Regions from separate parts of the Mus musculus genome. Here regions 1 and 2 are each reported to be linked to region 3. Evidence: microRNA targets listed by miRTarBase, many of them from high-throughput screens and not tested one by one. Region 3 holds a microRNA gene; each other region holds the end of a gene's coding sequence.
Evidence for each region. Region 3 holds the annotated microRNA mmu-miR-216b-5p (AAAUCUCUGCAGGCAAAUGUGA, at 3,634-3,655, shown strand). A microRNA usually pairs through its seed, bases 2 to 8, with sites in the 3' UTR of a target mRNA and lowers its output. Matches are read on the target gene's strand: a 7mer-m8 pairs with bases 2 to 8, a 7mer-A1 pairs with bases 2 to 7 and ends in A, and an 8mer does both.

Region 1 (7,164 bases), not on the chromosome of region 3:
ATTACTTAAACACTGCAGAGCAGTACAGAGTTGAGTGTTTAGTTTGTTAAAATCCTAAAAGTACATTTCTGGTTTTAGTTCGGCCTTCTTCTTGTTCTGTTCTGAGTACCGCCCCAAAATCAAAGGCGAGCATCCTGGCTTATCCATTGGTGATGTTGCAAAGAAACTAGGAGAGATGTGGAACAACACTGCAGCAGATGACAAGCAGCCCTATGAGAAGAAAGCTGCCAAGCTGAAGGAGAAGTATGAGAAGGTAAGGAGGATGACAGGATACCCAGTGTTAGGGGATTATACTTGATAACTCGTCTTATTTCCTCTTTGTTTGCAGGCTTCGTTGTTTTCATACAGGAACGGCCAATAGTGTGTTCAGTTTTCCTATAATCTGATTTGAGCTAAGGCCTTTAAGCTGTTTTAGTTGTATTTCTTAGTATGTATCCAAATTTGGGGGAAATTTGTAGCTACTTTTGGTGAGAATGGTTTCTAAATGGTTATGTGCATACACTACAAAAATAGATTGGGCAAAGTAACTGTACTGCCTATGTGCAAATTATTATATGTTCACTTTGGATTAAAATAAAATTGCTTAAACTTTAAGCTTGCCAAGGTAACTGTCATTAGAATGGAGGAAAATTGTAATTCGTATACATAAATTAAAATACCTAAAAGCTAATTTTTGTTGAGGTAATTTTTTCTGAAAATGTCTATTTTTTTAGATACACACCCCCAACCTCCCCCCAGTTTTCTTCTGTGGATTAAACTCTGGCTGTGAACCTGTAGAATGCTGTTTTGTGTTCAGAAGGTGGCAGTATTACTCTTTGATCAGTCTGCCTTCTAGTCCTCATAAACTAGAATTAGGATGTGGTATATAATTGCACTTCAGTGAGGCATAACAACACAAATATTAGTCTGACATTTCATGAGTTGTAGATTGCAAATTGTTCATTTTTATGTTGCCTTTTCCCTTGGTCTAATTATTTGGGAAGGTACAATGGGCCTGTGTGTTGTGGAGACTTTGTGAAGTTTTATTTTTTGTCTTTGTTTCATTCTCCTCTCCTTGTTTTGGAAGGATATTGCTGCCTACAGAGCTAAAGGAAAACCTGATGCAGCGAAAAAGGGGGTGGTCAAGGCTGAAAAGAGCAAGAAAAAGAAGGAAGAGGAAGATGATGAGGAGGATGAAGAGGATGAGGAAGAGGAGGAAGAAGAGGAAGACGAAGATGAAGAAGAAGATGATGATGATGAATAAGTTGGTTCTAGCGCAGTTTTTTTTTCTTGTCTATAAAGCATTTAACCCCCCTGTACACAACTCACTCCTTTTAAAGAAAAAAATTGAAATGTAAGGCTGTGTAAGATTTGTTTTTAAACTGTACAGTGTCTTTTTTTGTATAGTTAACACACTACCGAATGTGTCTTTAGATAGCCCTGTCCTGGTGGTATTTTCAATAGCCACTAACCTTGCCTGGTACAGTCTGGGGGTTGTAAATTGGCATGGAAATTTAAAGCAGGTTCTTGTTGGTGCACAGCACAAATTAGTTATATATGGGGACAGTAGTTTGGTTTTTTGTTTTTTTTTTTTTTTCTTTTGGTTTTCTTTTTGGGTTTTATTTTTTTCATCTTCAGTTGTCTCTGATGCAGCTTATACGAAGATAATTGTTGTTCTGTTAACTGAATACCACTCTGTAATTGCAAAAAAAAAATTGCGGCTGTTTTGTTGACATTCTGAATGCTTCTAAGTAAATACAATTTTTTTTATTAGTATTGTTGTCCTTTTCATAGGTCTGAAAGTTTTCTTCTCAAGGGGAAGCTAGTCTTTTGCTTTGCCCATTTTGGGTCACATGGATTATTAGTGTGTTATCTTTCATCTAGTTAGCTGGAAGAGAGCTTTTGTCCACATGCCCTGCCATTGTGGTAGGGTAACATTTTCATCCATAGTTGAAGAATCTCCTAAATCGTGATAGTTGGATAAGAGATATTATATAACCTACTTGGCAAAGCAAGGAGTGATCAATACTGTCACACCGTGGGACTATTAGGATCAAGCAATCTGAACGTCTGTCCTTGAAGGACTGATAGAAAAGTACCTTCTAATCCTTACACGAGGACTCTCCTTTAACCGCCATTACTGTGTAATGACAGTTATATTTTGCAGTTTCCCCTACTAAAGAAGACCTGAGAATGTATCCCCAAAAGTGTGAGCTTAAAATACAAGACTGCTGTACTATTTGTTGACCTTAGTCCCAGCGAAGGCTATCACAAGAACGCTGGCTGTAAAGCCTTTGCCCTTCTATCTAGATATGGATTGCTCAGGAAACTTGACTGTTTAAAGGTATTTTTAATTACTTGAGCCAGCTTTTAAAATTATGCCACATTTAAAATGAAGGGTATATTTTCCTATACTGTGGTTTGTCCCTTTATGAATCAGATACAAGAGGATAAACTTTGCATATTAGTACCATTTGTCCAATACATTTGCTTTTTCTTTATAAAACCCAAACTCATTCATTAATCAGGTTTAATCTGCTTAGTTTAGGGAACAATTTGGCAATTTTGTGGATTTTTTTTTGAGATTATCGTTCTCTTAAAGTGCCAGTGTTTTAAATAGCGTTCTTGTAATTTCACGCGCTTTTGTGATGGAGTGCTGTTATATAATTTTGACTTGGGTTCTTTACATTTGCGTTGTTAATGTAATTTGAGGAGGAATACTGAACATGAGTCCTGGATGATACTAATAAACTAATAATTACAGAGGTTTTAAATATTAGTTAAATGACTTTCACTTAAGAATTTAAGCTTTTGGTCACACTTTATAATAGTGCCTTATAGTATAAACAACTGAAAGGCTCTTTCCCATTAACAACCCTTGATGCTGGGGCCAGTGAGATAGTGGGTAAAAAGGCAGTTGGCTGCCAACCCTGACAACCGATGGCAAAAGGAGGGAACCAGCTTCCAAAATGCTTTGACCAAATGCTCCCTCCATTCATGAACACAGTTTTAAAATGTTAAATAGGCTAGAGGGCAGTAAAAACAGGTTTTTTTATCGAGCATCCCTAATCTATACATATGAGGAGCCATAATCTGAATGTTAAGTGAAAAGCGAGGTTGGTCTTAAAGATTGCACGTGTGTTCTTAAGCCTGTAGAGGACCTCCGCAGGCCGTAATGGTCTCGATTACCAACTTAAGAACAAGTGACTGGCTTGGAAACTTGTACTGTTGCTTTAGAACTACCATTGTGGACATCTGTTGTTAGTAAGTGATCCATTTAAAAGTGAACTCTGCCTCAAGGAAACGTCTTTGTAACTTTAGTGGGTGTGTCGCGACAGCTACCCTTTTAAAGATGTTAAGAATGGGAACAGTTTGCCTTGCTTAACCAGCTTCAGATCCTGACTTCAAGAAATGGAACAACAAAAAAAAACCTCTTTAAATTTGAGAAGGAGTTCTGTTCAGCATCTAAGCTGTATCCCTTGGAACTATGTGTATTGACTCTTAGGGCTGAAATTTACAGATTTTAGTATTAGGTTTTAATGTAGGTCTTGCCTGGGCTCACTATGTAGCAGAAGGTTGGTTCCTGCCTCCACTTCCCAAGTGCTGTGATGATTGGTATGTGTCACCATTCCTGGTAGGATTTCTGTATTTTAAAAGTGACACATGCCACTATTTCTGATAATCATTTCATACCCACTATATATATATATATATATATAGTGGGTATGAAATGATTATATCAATATATATATTGGCCACCAAGTATAGCTCTGGTGCAGTGCATTGAACTGTACAGGAAAGAAAGTACCAGTCTCTTTGGCCAAGCACTGCCACCCAGTATCACTGCAAATCTGGGCACGGTCACAGCATAAGTTCAAACCATTAAGCGAACCATTGACTGGTGGCTAGGTCCATCAATAAGGGACTGTGACAAGTTCCTTAAGCTTGTTTTTCCATTTACATCAATTCCCATGATCCTTGAAATACCTCTTGATACTGGGTAGAAGACAGAAAGCCGTTTGGGTGGCCACATCATCCCTAAGTACAGCAGTGCTAATGATTTCGGGAAATTCCCTGGGGTTCAGCCAAGTTACTTCCTTGAGTGAAGAGGCAATGTTGCTGGGCTCCAGTAATGCAATTCCAGGATACTCGATGGCACAGAAAACGCAAACCACATACAACAGTCTACCACACTCGAAACACCATCTGTCCGGAGGAAACCATCCCAGGCGGCATGGAAATTGGTTTGGACCCTAAATGCTGGAGTCTACTGGACATTAGTGGAAAATGACGTAGTGATGCAGCTATAGAATATAGAATCTCGGGGGTTGGGAGCTAGAATCCAGGGCTAGAGCATCAGGAGAGAGTTGGGGTTATAGTCAGGAAGTGTGTGCTTAGAGTCTGGGTTTCCAGTTTCCCCTACCCACCACCAAATTTAGGAAAGAGGGGGGAAGGACAGACAGATGTTTATAAAGGTATATGGTATATAAATTTTTTTCATTTTAAAATAATTTTTTGAGACAAGGTCTCACTATGTCAACCAGGCTGGCTCATAAAGGTAAAAGATCCACATATTTCTGCCTCCCTAGTGCTGAGATTAAAGATGCATATCACCACTTCTAGCTTTTTTTTTTTTTTCTGAAGTGCCTGTGTGTATTTTGCCCACGTGTATGTATGCACCACATGCGTGCAGTGCCCATGAAAGCCAGAAGAGGACTTCGGGTCTCCTGAAACAGTTACGAGCTGCCTTCTGGGTGGTGGGAATTGAAACCAGGTTCTGTGAGAGAACAGTAAGGGCTCTTTACAACCAAGCTGGACTTGCCCATTCCGTTTTGTCCATCTGTTTGTGTGAGCCAGGGTCTTATGTAGTTCAGGCTGGCTTTGAACTCACTGTGCACCTCAAGGTGGTCCTGAGTAGTAATGAGACGTATAAGTGGACGTCCATAGTCTTAATGTCTCATGGTCCGATTCCTTTCTGGGAGACACCCACTGTTTGCCTTTTCCTCTCAGGCATTTGTACATATTCAGAGTAAATGTCTCAAAGGAGGACTGCTGAGTCAAAAGATAGTTGGATTCAACATTTTGGCAGATATCAATAAATTGCCCCCCAAAAGTGTGCTTACACTGCAACATTTTAACATGGACTTTATGACAGAATTTTATCAGTTCTTTGGATCCATGAAAAAAAAAACTTTTTAAGTTTTGTTTGGTTTGGTTTTAGTGTTTTTGTTTTGTTTATTTTTTTCTTTTGTTTTGTTTTTTGACAGGCTTGCTTTCCTAGCTGTCCTGGAACTCCTCCTAAGTGCTGGTATTAAAGGCATGTGCCATGATACTGGACAGGAGCCTTTATTTCTTAAAAAAACGAAATCTTTTATCTAGAGTTCCCTACAGACATAATCAGGAACGCAGGCTGAATCAGAGCTGGAAGACTTGCAATGGCTCTGGCTAACTTGCTACAAGTTTTGGCCATCACTAGGTATTAAATCATTGTGTGGCACCGAGGAGCTTCCGAGTTTTAGGTCCTTGATCTTAAACAGAAGTGTCTGGTGTTTCTATGGAGAGGGAGGCTCAGTCTTAACAAAAGCTGCAGCAAACAGGTTTGGAAAGGTGGCGGTGGGCAAGGGTTAGGGTTAGGGTTAGGGTTAGGGTGTGTGTGTGTGTGTGTGTGTGTGTGTGTGTGTGTGTGGTGTGTGGTGGAGAGGTAGGGGTAAAGCAGTGGGGTGGGTGTACAATAGAACTGAGACTGGATTCTACCCTCAGTGGACGGAGGGTGCTTGTTTGTGAAGGTGGAACAGACCATACGTCTGGCTTTGGTAGGATAAAGGTCACCGTGCTTCATTTTCCTTGCTGAGAGTGGTACTTCAGGGTAGTGAACAACCTTCCAGAGCATTTACAAACACAACCCTAGTTGCAGCATTTAATTAGGTAGGCTTAGTTGCTTAGATTTTTATAGAATCACTAGTTAGTGGCTATTTTGGTTACTAGTTTCAATGACAGGTCATCTTTTTAAAAATTACATGTGTGTGCATACTATGGCACACAGTCAGACCAGAGGTCAACTTGTGCGAGTCAGGTCTCTCCTACCACCATGTGGTCCTGAGGATTGAATTTGAGTCTCCAGACTTTGTAGCAAGCTCCTTTAGTCACTGAACCATCTCAATAGTCCAAGGTCCTCTTCTCAGCAGTTAAGAGCACTGACTGCTCTTCCAGAGGTCCTGAGTTCAATTCCCAGCAACCACACGGTGGCTCACAACCATCTGTAATGGGATCGGATGCACTCTCCTGGTGCGTGTCTGAAGACAGCTACAGTGTACTCATATAAATAAAAATAAAATAAATCTTTTAAAAAGTAGTTTAAACATCAAGCAAGAACATTAAAAACAAAAACAAGAGACGTAAGTTACTTTCTGGATGTCAGAGTATTAAGGTAAGGAAAAGATACTCGGGTCCTTTAACTGCTGTGTAGTATACCCAGAGAGCCTGAAGGACAAGACCTTGGAGGCTCCATAGAGCAGACACTGCTATTGTTCACCCAGTGTGTGTTTCCCGACTGGCTCCACCATATGTCATGAGGACTTGTCTGCGTGGGGCTTTGGCACAGGGAACAGGTTAGGCACATGATGGCTCAAATACAGACTAGATAGCCTCTTTTGACAAGAGGAAAAAACGTCCTTTCTTTGGAGGCCAAACACTGCCACCCAGTATCACTGCAAATCTGGGCACGGTCAACTTCAAGGCACAGCACAGCACCAGTCCCAGGTCATGGCATGTTAGATGCAAAGAGGCCATAGGGCAACTGCAGTCTAGCCTGGGCCTTTTTCCACAGTAGTAGACAGTGGCCCATGGAGATTTGGAGGACAGCTGCCTGTAGTATCAGTATCCTGAAATATGCCCCCCCACCCCTCCCTGCTCCTTCCTCGACTTCACCACCTAGACTCTCTCTTCCTGCTATGCTTCTTTAATTTGACATATGGGGACAGCTAACACTGCGGTTACACCTGCAGCAGAATCTTCCAGAAGATCATAGAAAGGACGGCGGCTACGCACACCACAGAAACTGCTGAAAAACTTTGCCAGGCATGGTGGTGCGTGCTTTTAGTTCCAGCACTCAGGAGACAGAGGCAGGAGGATCTCTATGAGTTAGTTCAAGGCATCCTGGTCTGCACAATGAGACTCTTGTCACAA
Region 2 (7,162 bases), not on the chromosome of region 3:
ACTACATTTTAAAATAACTGGAAACCCCATGTCTGCATCTATATCTAAAATAGACTCATTTTAGAAGATGCACTTAGACTCAGAGGTGCTAATCGGCCCTTATCGACTAGATGTTGTCTATATTTTGCACATTATCGATCCGTTAGTGAGAAAGATGCTGTCGTATTTCTCCCGTGAAGCAGGAGAACTGCTATGGCCTTCCTCTCGTGCTGGGGGTTACGCTTTGCTGCCAAGGACATAAAACACTGTGCCTGCCCAGTTAGGCTGGGGTCAGCCCTGTGAAGGGATTAGACGGGTAATGAATGCAGGCAACTGCAGGACTTCTGTGGGGGAAAAGCTCTGGACATTTAAAAAAGACAGGCTGTTTACTTTCTACTAAAACTGTGTGTCCTGGTTTCCAGGTAAGATCTGTACAAGCTTGGCAGCAGACAGTGGAACAGCGTCTGGCTTCCTGGCCGCCCGACGTGCCTCCTATATCAAGTACTCTGGCGTCACCCAAGCCCCCGTTATTTCCACATCATCAGGACCCCTCTTCGGATCAGAGTTCGGACTGGCTCGTTGCTGAGGACGAAGCTGCGCAAGGGAGATCAGCGCCAGACTTTCCCGACTCTGGGTTTCACTCCTCCCTGACAGAGCAAGTTCCCTGTCTGCAGGATTCGTTGGATTTTGAAAAGAGTTCGGTAGAAAGCAGCGAAAACTCCGTGTTGGGGAATTCCGCTGACACGGTGAAATGCGTCAAAGACCGAGACTCGGAGGCCACAGCCGAGGAGCACAGTGACTGCAGTAGGGAGAGCTCAGCCAGTGAGCAGGACAACACTCTGCTCCAACAGTATTTAACCTCCGTCCAGCAGCTGGACGATGCCGCAGAGGCGGCCGATTCTGACGATGTGGCAGGAGACGGTAAGCGTCACCTCGCTTGTTCTCCGGAAAGGTTTGACGCCTCCTCTGACAGTGAGACTCATAGAGTGGCCTCTACTTCACAGGATGAAATTAGCCAGACGCCAGAGAATTGTCAGTTAAACGAAGAAGCCCAAGGGCAGCCTCCGGAGTGTGACCCTGCCTTTCAGGGGTTGCATGTGGGTGTCACTGTGCAGCCTGTCTGATTTACTGGGGAGCAGAAATTCAATTCGATTTTCTTATGTTTTCAAGTGTCTCTTTTGCAGGGGAGCAACCCTTTCCCCCATTTTGTTATTATTTATATACAACTTGTTTCCTTGTCCCACACTTTTTAGATATTAGCTACTGAACTACGTCTTCATTTTCATTGTACTACTGTACTAAACAATATTGATATTAAAAGGCATATGCACTTTATTTCTTAATAATTACACCAATAATGTTTCCTTTACATCCGTACTGCCTTTCAGGAACAGTTCCTTGCAGTAGTTTTGGTGATTTAAGTAGGAGAACTTGGCTCTTGTTAGTCACATGGTAAGGGATGGAATATGTAAGGCACGGCTAGGGTGAGGACTATGGAAAAGTGAAATTTCCCAGGCAGTCTCCTTGGCCTAAAACTGTGGCTTTCCACCCTTTGTGTTAAGGAAAGCCTTCTTGTATAAGAACACTTAGGGAGAATAAGGTTTAGTGTGTGTGTGTGTGTGTGTGTGTGTGTGTGTGTGTGCGCGCGCGTGCCTTATGTGTGCGTGCTGGCATTTAAAAGTCTGAGCCTGGAGAATGGTCAGCATGTGCCCGGCCATTGAGCTGCTCACCTAACTCCCAGATCGTAAGACTTTTAAGTGGGTGATTAAATTGCCTCATGACAAACATTAGCTAATTTGTGGATCAGTTTTGAAGTAAGGTATTCCATCAGGATTAAAATCAAGCTTGCTCGGGCAAGTATCTTTCTCTTTGCTATGGAGAAAGGAGACATAGAGTTAGTCACTTGGAACCATGCTGTTCAAATGCCTCTTTTCATTATGTACTCTTTTAGGCTGTTGACATTTATGTGCCAATACTTTGGGGAAGAAGTAGATCGTAAGAAATCAATATGTATTCATCATTATGGTCTTGCTTTTATTTCTATATATACTTCACCAGAAGAGCCAAAGCTACACTTCACAGTGTGTGTGTGTGTGTCTGTGGACCACAGGAGTTACAGCCCTGTGCATGCCCCATGGAGCTGTGTCTCAGTCCTTATTTCACTCGTGACCTTTGTCCCTTAGTGAAGAACGTTTAAAATCCTGATAGACTGCAAATGTTGTTTTTTTCCTGAAGAATTTTTTTTATCTAATCTCTGAAAAGTGCCATATTCGAAGGACAATGTACTGGTGACTAAGAAAAGATAAATCCAGCTGGGCTTGGTGGCGCATGCCTTTAATCCCAGTGCTTGGGAAGCAGAAACAGGCAGCTCCCATGAGTTCAAGGACAACCTGGTTAAAAGTAGGTGCTAATATCATCCATTATTCTATTAAAGCCATTAGAGCCCTTTAATTGAAAGTATATAAAAACAAAAGTTCTGGTCCTTCCAGAATAGAGTTGAGGACCATGTGGTACTTGCTGAGAGGAACAGCTCTACCTTATGGCGAGCTGAATTCATAAACACATAGTACTCAGGTTGAGAAGGCTTGCATTTCATTCTCAGAAATCCAGAGTCCTTTGACAAGGACATGTTTTCTGGGTTTTATAAACAGAACAAGTCTTGAGTTCAAACTATTTCCTCTAGTATAGATGTGTACTATTGAATGCTTGATTGATTAAAACTGAAAAGTTAACTCTGAATAATAATTACCTTTTATAATTTTGCATTTCTTTTAAAATACTTAATTTGTATGCGTGTGTTTGTGTGTGTGATAGTGTCTGTCTGAGTGTATGAGAATATGTGTGTATGTGTGAGAGAGTATATATGTGTGTGCTGTGTATGTGTGAGAACTTGTATGTGTATGTGAGAGCTTGTGTGTGTGAAAGAGAGAGTGTGTGTGTTTGTGTGTGAGAATTTGTGTGTGTATATGTGCAAGGGAGAGTATTTATGTATGTGTGTGTGCCTGCTGGAGGAAGCCAGAGGTGGGTGTCAGCTCCCTTGAACCTGGAGCTGACAGGTGTTTGTAAACCGTCCCTCAACCCTACCTTTTTTATTCCTTTTTCAATAGGCAATAAGAATTTTTCTTATTTTTCTATTTTTACAGTTAAGTGCCTCATTTGCTGCCCACAGGTAAAGAAAAACATCTCACTGAGGTAGCACCAAAACTGTTTCACGGCACATTAATTTCAGAAAAGTGGCTCCAGCGCTACGGTTGAGCGTCCCAGAGCGCCGTTCTGGTAGTTGCTTTTTCCTTTTCTTAAGTCATGGAATCTAGTCAGATCTAGCCATTTCATCTGATAGACACTGTCAGCAGAACTTATTGTTCTTTTGTCTGGTTTTCTAGTCTGAAAATGGCATTCAACATATTTTTTTTGTGAAAAACTTGGCAGAATATGCTAATTGCTCATATTCTGCTCTACCTCTCTCTTATTTTATCTCAGTTTAGAAGTATGGGAATGTGAAGTCGCCTGCTTCGAGCTGCAGAGAATCTTGACTATAGGTGAAAATGCAATATGCCAGAATGTAGGAAAACTAAGACAGAGACCTAACGTATTTTTATTGGTTTATAGAATTTAAAGGTAACTAAGGGATAGTAATTTATGTGACTCTGGATTATTTATTAGTCTGGCTGGGAAGGGAACAGACTAGGGAGTCTGGGGAGTTGAACTTTGAACTTGGCTTTTTTTGATAAGAGATTTTTGTTCAGCTGTGCTGCTTTGGCTCAGATACATTCTCGCATTATGGAGGACTTGTCACTTCGAGTTACTGCAGAGGCATAAACTTGTACCACATAGGCAGGCAAGACTGGCACATGCCTTTAGTCTCAGCCTGTGCGACGAGGCAGATACAGGCAGATCTCTGAGTTTGAGACCAGCCTGGTCTACACAGAGAAACCCTGTTTCAAAAAACGAAACGAAACCAAACAAAACGCCCACAAGCCTCCTACCACCACCCCCCCGCAAAAAAAAAAAAAAAAAAAAAAAAAAAAAACTCGTCATACCCTGTGAAAATCAGAAGGAATCTTGAGATTATCTGTTGCCATTACTATTGTTGTTATTATTATCGCTATTATTATTGTACAATGTAAAAGAGATGCTGGCCTTATGGCAGCGACTGACTGTTTCATTGTGCAGAGGAAACAGCAACCCAGGGATGATAACCAGCCTGTGTAAGGTTGCGGTAGCCAGCAGTAAACTGGAAACATGTTCGTGTATTTCAAGCTTTCCATAACCTTCTCTGTCCATCTTTACAGGAATGAGTAAGTTGCTGCATTTTAAACAGGAAAAACAGCTTTTAAGAGAGGCCCTTTAATGGCAGAGTTGTAGCAAACAGCTAAATCTTTCAGAACCTTGAATGAATGTTCTCCAAAAAAACCAAATGGGACTTTCTTAAAGTTGTTTGTATGAAGCAATAATAGCAGCCGGAAATGGCAGTGCACACTTCGTTTTTTTGTTTGTTTTTTGTTTTTTGAGACGTGGCTCTGTAGACCAGGCTAGCCTCTAACTCAGAGATCCTCCTGCCTTTGCCTAACGAGTGCTCGAATTAAAGGCATGCAGCATCACAGCCCAGCAGCGATACACACTTGTAATCACAGCACTTGGGATGCCGAGGCAGGAGGATCTGAGAGTTCAGGGCCACCTTCAGCTACATAGTGAGATTCAGGCTAACCTGGGCCACCAACAGCAATAGTAAAGTTAAAATTTTAGGAAAGAATCACTGTATCTTAATCATTTATTTGATGACAGCTAATCTTATAGATTACCAAAGCAGATAAAATTTTCTCAAGAAATACTGAATTTGATGCTTCATGTTGCCTTTTATAGAGCAACAGATGGTAAGAATTTTACACTCCTGGTGTGAGAAAGATCTAATCATGACAGCTGATAATATTCAAATAGTTTGCCCTTATACGTCTAACTATATAGGACACTATAGTATGCATGTTTTAGAAAATGTTTGGCCACATGGTTGTTTATTTGTAAATAACTCTGTTCTTTGATTATATGGTGCTGTTCTTGACTGTATGTTTTCCCTGGGTTTAGTTTAGGTTATTTTCAAAACACAAGCATCATAACTTTTCTGTTATCTATTTATGGCAAGTCTTCTACTTTTCATAAATGCTTTCAGGAATATACAGCTTTAAATATTATACTATCTCTCTTGGTAATTTTTTTATGTAAAATATTAAGATTGGATTTATAATAATAATATATATTTTTCCTGAAGTGGGAAGGGGAAAGCAGTCATTGGATTAGTTTCCATTCATAAAGAAATACGAGGCTCAGTTACACGGTTGTTTAATGTATATTCTTTGTTTTGTTTTGTTTTTCTTTTTTTCGAGACAGGGTTTCTCTGTATAGTCCTGGCTGTCCTGGAACTCACTTTGTAGACCAGGCTGGCCTCGAACTCAGAAATCTGCTTGCCTCTGACTCCCAAGTGCTGGGATTAATGTATATTCTTATTTTGCCACATCTGTGTTAAAAGAAGTTTATTGTAGTTATGTTTTTAACTTTAAATACATAGTACTTTTATTTTTTTGAGACAGGGTCTGTCTAAAAAGCCCTGGTTGTCCTGGAACTCACTCTGTAGACCAGGCTGGCCTAGAACTCAGAGATTGTGTTTGCCTCTTCCTCCCAAGTGCTGGGATTAAAGGCATGCACTACCGTGCCCAGCCGTGGCGCCCTTGTTCTTGAAGTGAAGCAGAAGTAGTTTGTAAGGAACATTTTCAATTTTTTTTTTCTTTTTTTGAGGTGAGGGTCTCATTATGTTGTCTAGGGTTGGTCTTGAACTCCTGGCCCCAAATGATCCTCTTGCCTCAACCTCCAGAGTAGTTGGGACTATAGGCACAGAAACATTTAAATTGAGAATTTTGGTGATAAAGTCTATTGTGCCATATTACAGTTAAGCGTCATGTAAACAAGGTGGGCCTCATAGTCCTGGAGAGAAACTGACCCCCATCTTTCTAGGCCGAGGCGCTTCTTATTGTTAATGGGTGGAATCACACTGGACTTTAATTCTTTTCATTAATTTTAGTGGATAGAGGGGATTGCTCCTTAGAGTGGCCTTGTCAGTACATTTCTTTGGATGTTTTGTAATATTTGTGTGTGTGGTGCTAGCATGCTAGACAAAGCACGGTACCACTTTACAACATTGCAGCCCCGTGTTCCAGATTATCATTAGTGTCGGCAAGAAGAGTTTAAAGATAATTTGATTTTGCACCATTTCTTGATTTTTTTTCAATGTTGGTACAAACAGTAAGACTTAAGGTGGCTGAAGTCTGTTTTATGAAGGCTTTTCTATTTTATATTGTGCTCTTCATTTGTATTTGAGTCTGTCTAATTTGAAATAAAAGCTTTATACATTTAGGTGTGATATCTGGTTATTTCAGTGATTAGCCGAAGTTATTACTCATTGTGCTCACAGTTAATTGGTAGATAAAGTTTAGAACAATTTTACTTCAGAAAATTTAGAGTGTTGACATCGTATATAGAAAGCATGAGACTCCTTGCCAAAGCATTGTCCTTTCTCCACAAAAGAAGCACTGGGAGTTTATCCCAGGCACCTCTTACGTAGTCCTTTGAGGGTGAGTTCATTTAGAAGCATGCTCAGCTAAGAAGTAGATTCCTAGCTGGGCGTGGTGGCGCACGACTTTAATCCCAGCACTCCGGAGGCAGAGGCAGACGGATTTCTGAGTTCGAGGCCAGCCTGGTCTACAGAGTACAGAGTGAGTTCCAGTACAGCCAGGGATACAGAGAAACCCTGTCTTGAAAAACCAAAAAAAAAAAAAAAAAAAAAAAAAAAAAAAAAAAGAAAAAGAAAAGAATGGGTGTTTAGTTTGCATGTGAGTCTGCGCATCACATGTGTATGCTTATGGAGACCAGAAGAGAGTACTGGAGTTACCAATAGTGTGAAACACCACGTGTGGGGGTGCTGGAAACTCACCCCAGGTCCTCTTCTAGAGCAAGTGCTCGTAACCACTGAGCCATCTTGCCAGCTGAGGACCAAGAAGTTTTAGCTGAGAATAAAGGCACAGGTATGTTGAAGGTGTATTAAGTCATGCCTTAGCCTCTGAAGGTGCCTGCCCTTCGTACTCACGAATGGATGTCCTCTGGCTGGTGATCCTTGATCTTTCCTGTGCCCAGC
Region 3 (7,201 bases):
ATCATTCACTTCCTTAGAGTCACACCAACATATTTTATATTATTTGTGGCTATAGTGAAGGGTGTTGTCTCCCTAATTTCTTTCTCATCCTGTTTATCCTTTTTGTAGAGAAAGGCCACTGATTTGTTTGAGTTAATTTTATATCCAGCTACTTCACTGAAGCTGTTTATCAGGTTTAGGAGTTCTCCAGTGGAATTTTTAGGGTCACTTATATATACTATCATATCACCAGCAAATAGTGATATTTTGGCTTCTTCCTTTCCAATTTGTATTCCCTTTATCTCCTTTTGTTGTTGAACTGCTCTGGCTAGGATTTCAAGTACTATATTGAATAGGTAGGGAAAAAGTGGGCAGCCTTGTCTAGTAACTGATTTTAGTGGAATTGCTTCAAGTTTCTCTCCATTTAGTTTGATATTGGCTACTGGTTTGCTGTATATTGCTTTTATTATGTTTAGGCATGGGCCTTGAATTCCTGATCTTTCCATGACTTTTATCATGAAGGAGTGTTTGATTTTGTCAAAAGCTTTCTCAGCATCTGACAAGATGATTTTGTGATTTTTGATTTGAGTTTGTTTACATAGTGGATTACGTTGATGGATTTCCATATATTAAACTATCCCTGCATCCCTGGGATGAAGCCTTCTTGGTCATGATGGATGATCGTTTTGATGTGTTCTTAGATTCGGTTTGTGAGGATTTTACTGAGTATTTTCACATAGATATTCATAAGGGTAATTGGTGTGAAGTTCTCTTTGTTGGATCTTTATGTGGTTTAGGTATCAGAGTAATTGTGGCTTCATAGAATGTATTGGGTAGTGTACCTTCTGCTTCTATTTTGTGGAATAGTTTGAGAAGAACTGGAATTAGTTCTTCTATGAAGGTCTGATAGAATTCTGCACTATACCCATCTGCGTCTCAGCTCTGCCTCCTGACTGGGGATGAAGGCCAAAGGGACCCTGTTCAAGAAGCTCTGTTGCTTCTGCCACCCATGTGCTCTCCTGTGTAGACTGGTCTCAGGGATATCAAGAATACAGTGGAGAAATTCTTGTCTTTTCAAAAATTGTGCTAAAATATTAGATATGTATGTATGTATAAAAATGTGAGCCTAGACATGGATCTTTCAATCTTCATAAGAACCAAGAGTTAATTCAAAATACTTTCTAAACCAAATATATAATGAAAAACTGTAAAATTGCCAGAGGAAAACAACATAAAACCTAGATGACCTTCTTTTCAGATCTAGCACCAAAAGCAAGATCCCTGAAAGAAATGACAAACATGACTTTATTAAAAATGTAAAACTCTGCTCTTCTATATGTAAGAGACTGAGAAGGCAAGATACAGTCTAAAAGAAAAATTTTAAATATTTACATCATAGAGCAATATTACCCACAAATACACAAAGAACTCTTAAAACACAGTGAGAAAATGACCCCTACTAAAATGCTGAAAGGAAAACCTGAACCAGCATTTTATTAATGAAGATATGTAAATTGGATGGTGGTAGTGCCTTCAATCCCAGCACTCAGTGTCGAGGGGTGAGGGAGGAGGGGGCAGAAGCAGGTGGATCTCTGAGTTTGAGGTGAGCCTTGTCAATAGAGTGAATTTCAGAACATTCAGGATTACGTAGAAAAACCCTGTCTCAAAAAGCCGGGCAGGGGGGGGGGCGCGGTGTGGAGGGGGAGAAAACTGTGTGAAGCAGCATTTGAAAGATATTCAACATTATATGTCACCAGGACTTGTAAATTAAACAAAGGTATACGGTACTTCTATTGGAATGACCAGAGCACTGACAACACCAAATGCTCCCAAGGATTTGGAACAATAGGATACCTCATTCACTGCTAGTTGGAAGGCAAAATACTACTTATAAGAGAATATGCCAGGGTCTTTCAATGTTATATATAGAGTCACTACAGAACTCATAAGTCAGGCTCTGATATTAGCCAGAGGAGGTGGCAATGTGGTCACACAGAAACTCAAGCTCAATTGTTCATACTCCCTAGACATAATCACAAAATTGGCACACAATAAAGATGCCTTTTAGGAAAGGAATAATCGCTGGCACATCCAAATGAAGGAATGATTATTGGTTAATTACAAACCTGCGAGGACATGGAAGAATCTAAGTATATATTATTGTTAAGTAAAGAAGTCAATCTGAAAAAGACGATATACTACCATATGATTCCAACAATAAGACTGAGGAAAGGCAAGAACTGTGGAGATGGTAAAAAGATCAGTGGGGTCCAGGAGTTACAGAGAAAGCACTCACCATGACTTTTTGCCTCTAAACCAAATATCACTCAAATTCTCTATTATAGCACAAGACTAAATACATAAAACATTTATATATTTCTATTTTTTACTTATCTTGTCTGAATTTAAGTGTGTTTACTCTGATATCAATAAAATGTGAATATATATATACACATACATATATGCCTCTTTAATAGTAGACATTTGAAATAAAGGACTTTAGTAAATCAATGGACTGTAAGTAGTAGGTGCTGATTTAACACTGTCTTAGTCAGGGTTTCTATTCCTGCACAAAATTCATGACCAAGAAGCAGTTGGGGAGGAAAGGGTTTATTTGGCTTACAATTCCATACTGCTGTTCATCACCAAAGGAAGTCAGGACTGGAACTCAAGCAGGTCAGAAAGCAGGAGCTGATGCAGAAGCCATGGAGGGATGTTCCTTACTGGCTTGCTTCCCCTGGCTTGCTCAGCCTGCTCTCTTATAGAATCAATACTACCAGCCCAGAGATGGTCCCACCCACAAGGAGCCTTTTCCCCTTGATCTCTAATTGAGAAAATGCCTTACAGTTGGATCTCATGGAGGCATTTCCTCAACTGAAGCTCCTTTCTCTGTGATAACTCCAGCTGTGTCAGGTTGACACAAAACTAGTCAGTACAAACACTTTCTATATGCCTGGGATACAGTAGGAAATAAAATATTTCAATTTTCTGTTCTGTTAAAATAGTGAAATGGCTGTATAGTTAATAGATGGAAAACAGTTCCATGAGCAATAACTATCAGCATTGCAGAGTTGATATTGTGATCATCACAAATTGTGCTGTTCTCATATAGTAAATACTGCATATTATTTTGTTGCTTTAAAAATTAGCCGTAGATGATGTGATTAATCTATGATGATTAGACAGCTACTAAGTAATAAAAGACACATGGGGAAAATGAAGGTGACAAGTACAGCTCCTAGTGCACTCTCCTTGTGCTTTTTAGATATATCTATAAGTTTAAAAAGCTGTGCAGAAACAGAAATGCAAGTTCTAGCACACAGATCGCCTGGCATTCAAGAAACTCCAGGACTGTGAAGTTTGCAGTGTGGTCAAGCATCATTATAGGTGAGAGAGCTGGTATTTACCTGTTACCTTAGCCTTCAGAAGAACGTAATGCCTTTTTTCTTGCTCTTGTGTTTGAATCCTATCTATAGTCCTTACTTCCTACCTAATGTCAATCTTTCATAAATATTTTATGAAATGAATAATATATGTTTCATAAATATAATTTCTGAAACATAATAATTTTAGAGTTTAGCAAGACTAGAAAGACCATTGTAGAGTGAAAAATGGTTTTACATCTTAGATGTAATTGCACATTGGCAGACTGGGAAATCTCTGCAGGCAAATGTGATGTCACTGAAGAAACCACACACTTACCTGTAGAGATTCTTCAGTCTGACAACATCAAGCATCAAACCCCTTTATCAAGCAATGATTTTTCTATATTCTCTGCTCTGACATGTACAAAGTCTAGTGAAATAACCGAATGAAGGCTTGTCCATTAAACCTTGGCTTCATCTGAGAGGACTGCATGTCTGATGATGGTTCATTCTCACCAAATTAAGTTGTAAGGTTAATTTGCAACATGGCTTAGGGAAGTGACAATGAGGATGTGACCTAACCATTGTTGGCATCACTCGAAATCCAGTTAGAAATGGGAACACCCACATCAGGACCTCCAATTGGCTCTAGCAATTTTCGCCCAGGTAATGCTGACTGATCTTCCACTTTGTAACCACTGACCAAAAGAAAACAAAAGATCACAGTCAAAAAACTGAACTCAAAATAATCATCTCAAACTAAACAAAATACAAAAAGTGTCCTACTCAGGCTTCTGTTGCTGTGATAAAGCACAGATCAAAAGCAGCTTGGGGGAGGAAAGAGTTTATTTGGCATATAGATCCTGCTCACAGTCCATCACTGAGGAAAGCCCACAGCAGAGCCCATGAAGGGACTCTGCTTACTGGCTTGTTCCCAGGTTCACATTTAGCTACCTTTTACTTCCTATTACTATCTACCCATCTGAAGGAGAGACTGCCCACAGTGGGCTGGGACCTCCCACATCAAACATCAATCAAGAAAATGCCCCAACACACCTAAAGGTCGATCAGGTGGAAGTGATTCCTCCATGGAGACTCCCTCTTCCCAGATATGTCTAAGTTGTCATCAAATGGACAACAAAGATTGACAAAATAATATATATTCACAACTATTGGACTGAGCACGGGGTCCACAATGGAGGAGTTAGGGGAAGGACTAAAGGAGCTGAAGGGATTTGCAACCCATAGGAAGAACAGCAATATCAACCAACCAGACCCCCCAGAGCTCCCAGGGACTAAACCACCAACCAAAGAATATACATGCAGAGACTCTTGGCTCCAGCCGCATATGTAGCAGAGGATTTCGAGGGATGGGGAACCAGAAAAGGAGATAACATTTGAAATTTAAATAAAGAAAATGTCCAATAAAAAATTACTGTCAAGAATGAATGACTTTTGTAAAATGATAGTCTTGATAATACACATGATCATTGATTGGAGGAAGTTTCATCTTCAACTCTTTGCCACTGAGATTACAAAACTCTCCTTAGAAATAAAGAGTTAAGAAATCTATTCAGAAGTAGAGAACGTTTTAGTCTGGGAGGAGTAAAAGGATACTGACATCATTCAAGTTGTGAGCCATAATTCTTATTAGATTGCATTGCTACATTCTTCACACAGCTTTGGAAAGTTATTTCTAAGGTCACAAAATATGCACTTAGCCTGCACACAGAGAAGAAAAATGATTTTACAATGAAATTATTTCAGCCTGGCTCAATAATATTAGGAAGACTTAAGACTTATTCTCTATGAAACATATCTTGGCAAAATAAATGATGACTACATGACTATCTTTTTCAATGTTCTTTGTAGTTTTGCCCTATTAAGAGTTAAATTTGGCAATAAATGATCTACTAAGAAAACTTTTACCTATTTCCTTTGTGTTTAATACTATAAAACTGCATGGCTGAAGGGTAAATTACAATTGCACTTGGCCTCTGACAATGAGTAAATTTCATAATTTTCGTATTATACTTCAAAACAACATATAAACAATTGGTATGCCTGATAACCAGTAACCCCTAGTAGTTTGTTAGGAATTCATCTTCCATTTAACTCTTAACCAATTGATTTTGATTATTTCTGGACCACAGCAATTTCCCATGATGCAATGGAAAATGTAACAACCAAAACTTGAATTAGATCACACACAAAGCATCAATTTACTCAGATCATAATAGTGAGGTTTGGCTCATTCACTGAAAATTGAGAGTTCAGCTCTTCATGGACTCTACAAATAGTGTGGGAGGTCAGCAAGGTGTTTTAAAGAACACTGTGCCTCCTCCCTGAGAACTTTCACTTTGATAAAAATAGAGTGGTTATCTAGCCACCAGACTTTTTGACTTTCACAAATTGACTCAACCTTTCTGCAGTTGCTACAATTCCAGCTGGCATTTGATAATGGTTTAAAAAAAAAGAGCAAGGGTTAACAAATGTATGCAATTGATGGGCAAAATCTTTCAAAACATGGGATTCTACTGGAGAAACAACAACAATAGTAGAGCAATACTAGGAATCTAGCATACTGTTACAATATGGACATGAATATCCAATAGATACTACTGCATGGAGCATGCCATGCATGTGATCTGCCTTTGTTTTCTCACAAACACAATAAAAGTACTAAGAATCCTACTTAGGCTAGGCAGTGGTGGCACGTGCCTTCAATCCCAGCACTCGGGAGGCAGAGGCAGGCATATTTCTGAGTTTGAGGCCATCCTGGTATACAGAGTGAGTTCCAGGACAGCCAGACCTATACAGAGAAACCCTGTCTCAAAACAAACAAACAAAACCAAGAGTCTTACTTAGAGGTTGAAGATGTGGGTCAGCAGTATAGAACACTTGTTGCTCTTCTGGATGACCTAAGTCCAATGCCTAGCACAGCACACAGATGATGGCTTTCAACCACTGGTAACTCCAATCAGAGGCTACCCTGCATCCTTTTCTAGCATCTGTAGGCACTAACCATCTATGTGGTGCACAGGCATACATACATACATACAAAACATTCATGTGTGTGTGTCTATATACATGTATGTATCTATATATATACATATATAGATACACATATACATAAATAGCAAATAAATTAATTTCTAAAAGAGTCATAATTTATGAAGAAAATGAAGTTCAGAAAGGTTCTATATTGGGAAGAGGAAGTTATGTAAGTGTTTACAGCTTGGCATTTTAGAAAAAAAAATGTAGTACAGAAGAACAAGCATGAAACTATGGCTTAGAAAATCTGGACTAAATGTCATCATATTTGTGTCCCATTGCTGGAGAAAGCTCTTGTCAAAAAAAAAAAATGTAGAATGTTGCTTTTGTGTTTGGGGTGAACTGCACAGTCCAGTCATGGCCTAGACTCTATTTCTAGTCCTCCAAGATTGCATCCATACAAGTGAAACTTCAAAGGAGAGGATGCCAATGGGAGGTTCAGTCAGTCTCCTTCAGTGCATCCTAAACACCCTTTCCTCTTTCCTTATCACCTTCTCCAGGTCCTGTTCCTAGTCTGAGCCCTGGTGATCCCAAGAAGACCTTAGGACACACAGCTTTTCCAGAAGAGCTGTGCCAGGTAAATCCATAAGAGCTTTCCTCCTCTTCTTCCAAGGGATGCCAGGGGTTGTAATTAACATCTAATTTAAGTATTTCTCAGAACCCTAGCATTCAGATCTGTAAAGGAAGAGAGTGGCTACTTTACTTAGAATTATTTGTAGAGTGTTGATAATGATGGATGCTACATAGACAGCCCCTTTGGTCCTTGCAATAACTTTATCTGAAGCTTGACTATTAAAGGTTCC

Region 1: the mRNA of Hmgb1 is a reported target of mmu-miR-216b-5p. Seed matches in the 3' UTR shown: 7mer-A1 at 2,561-2,567.
Region 2: the mRNA of Cep97 is a reported target of mmu-miR-216b-5p. Seed matches in the 3' UTR shown: 7mer-m8 at 3,710-3,716, 7mer-A1 at 4,044-4,050 and 7mer-m8 at 5,629-5,635.

Annotation. Positions count from the first base shown.
Region 1 is chr5:149,042,816-149,049,979 of GRCm38, reverse strand. It overlaps Hmgb1 (high mobility group box 1), which reads left to right. Exons shown (of 5, transcript NM_010439.4): 4 at 79-253; 5 at 1,067-3,278. The coding sequence ends at 1,243. Among named protein-coding and RNA genes, the nearest start is that of Hmgb1, 6.7 kb to the left of the region's middle.
Region 2 is chr16:55,899,109-55,906,270 of GRCm38, reverse strand. Cep97 (centrosomal protein 97) reads left to right here. Exons shown (of 11, transcript NM_028815.4): 11 at 402-6,383. The coding sequence ends at 1,103. Among named protein-coding and RNA genes, the nearest start is that of Nxpe3, 7.4 kb to the right of the region's middle.
Region 3 is chr11:28,742,571-28,749,771 of GRCm38, forward strand. It overlaps Mir216b (microRNA 216b), which reads left to right and starts at 3,621; the gene lies at 3,621-3,706. It overlaps Mir217hg (a long non-coding RNA gene), which reads left to right. Exons shown (of 3, transcript XR_381119.3): 2 at 6,899-6,975. It overlaps Mir216c (microRNA 216c), which reads right to left and starts at 3,696; the gene lies at 3,628-3,696.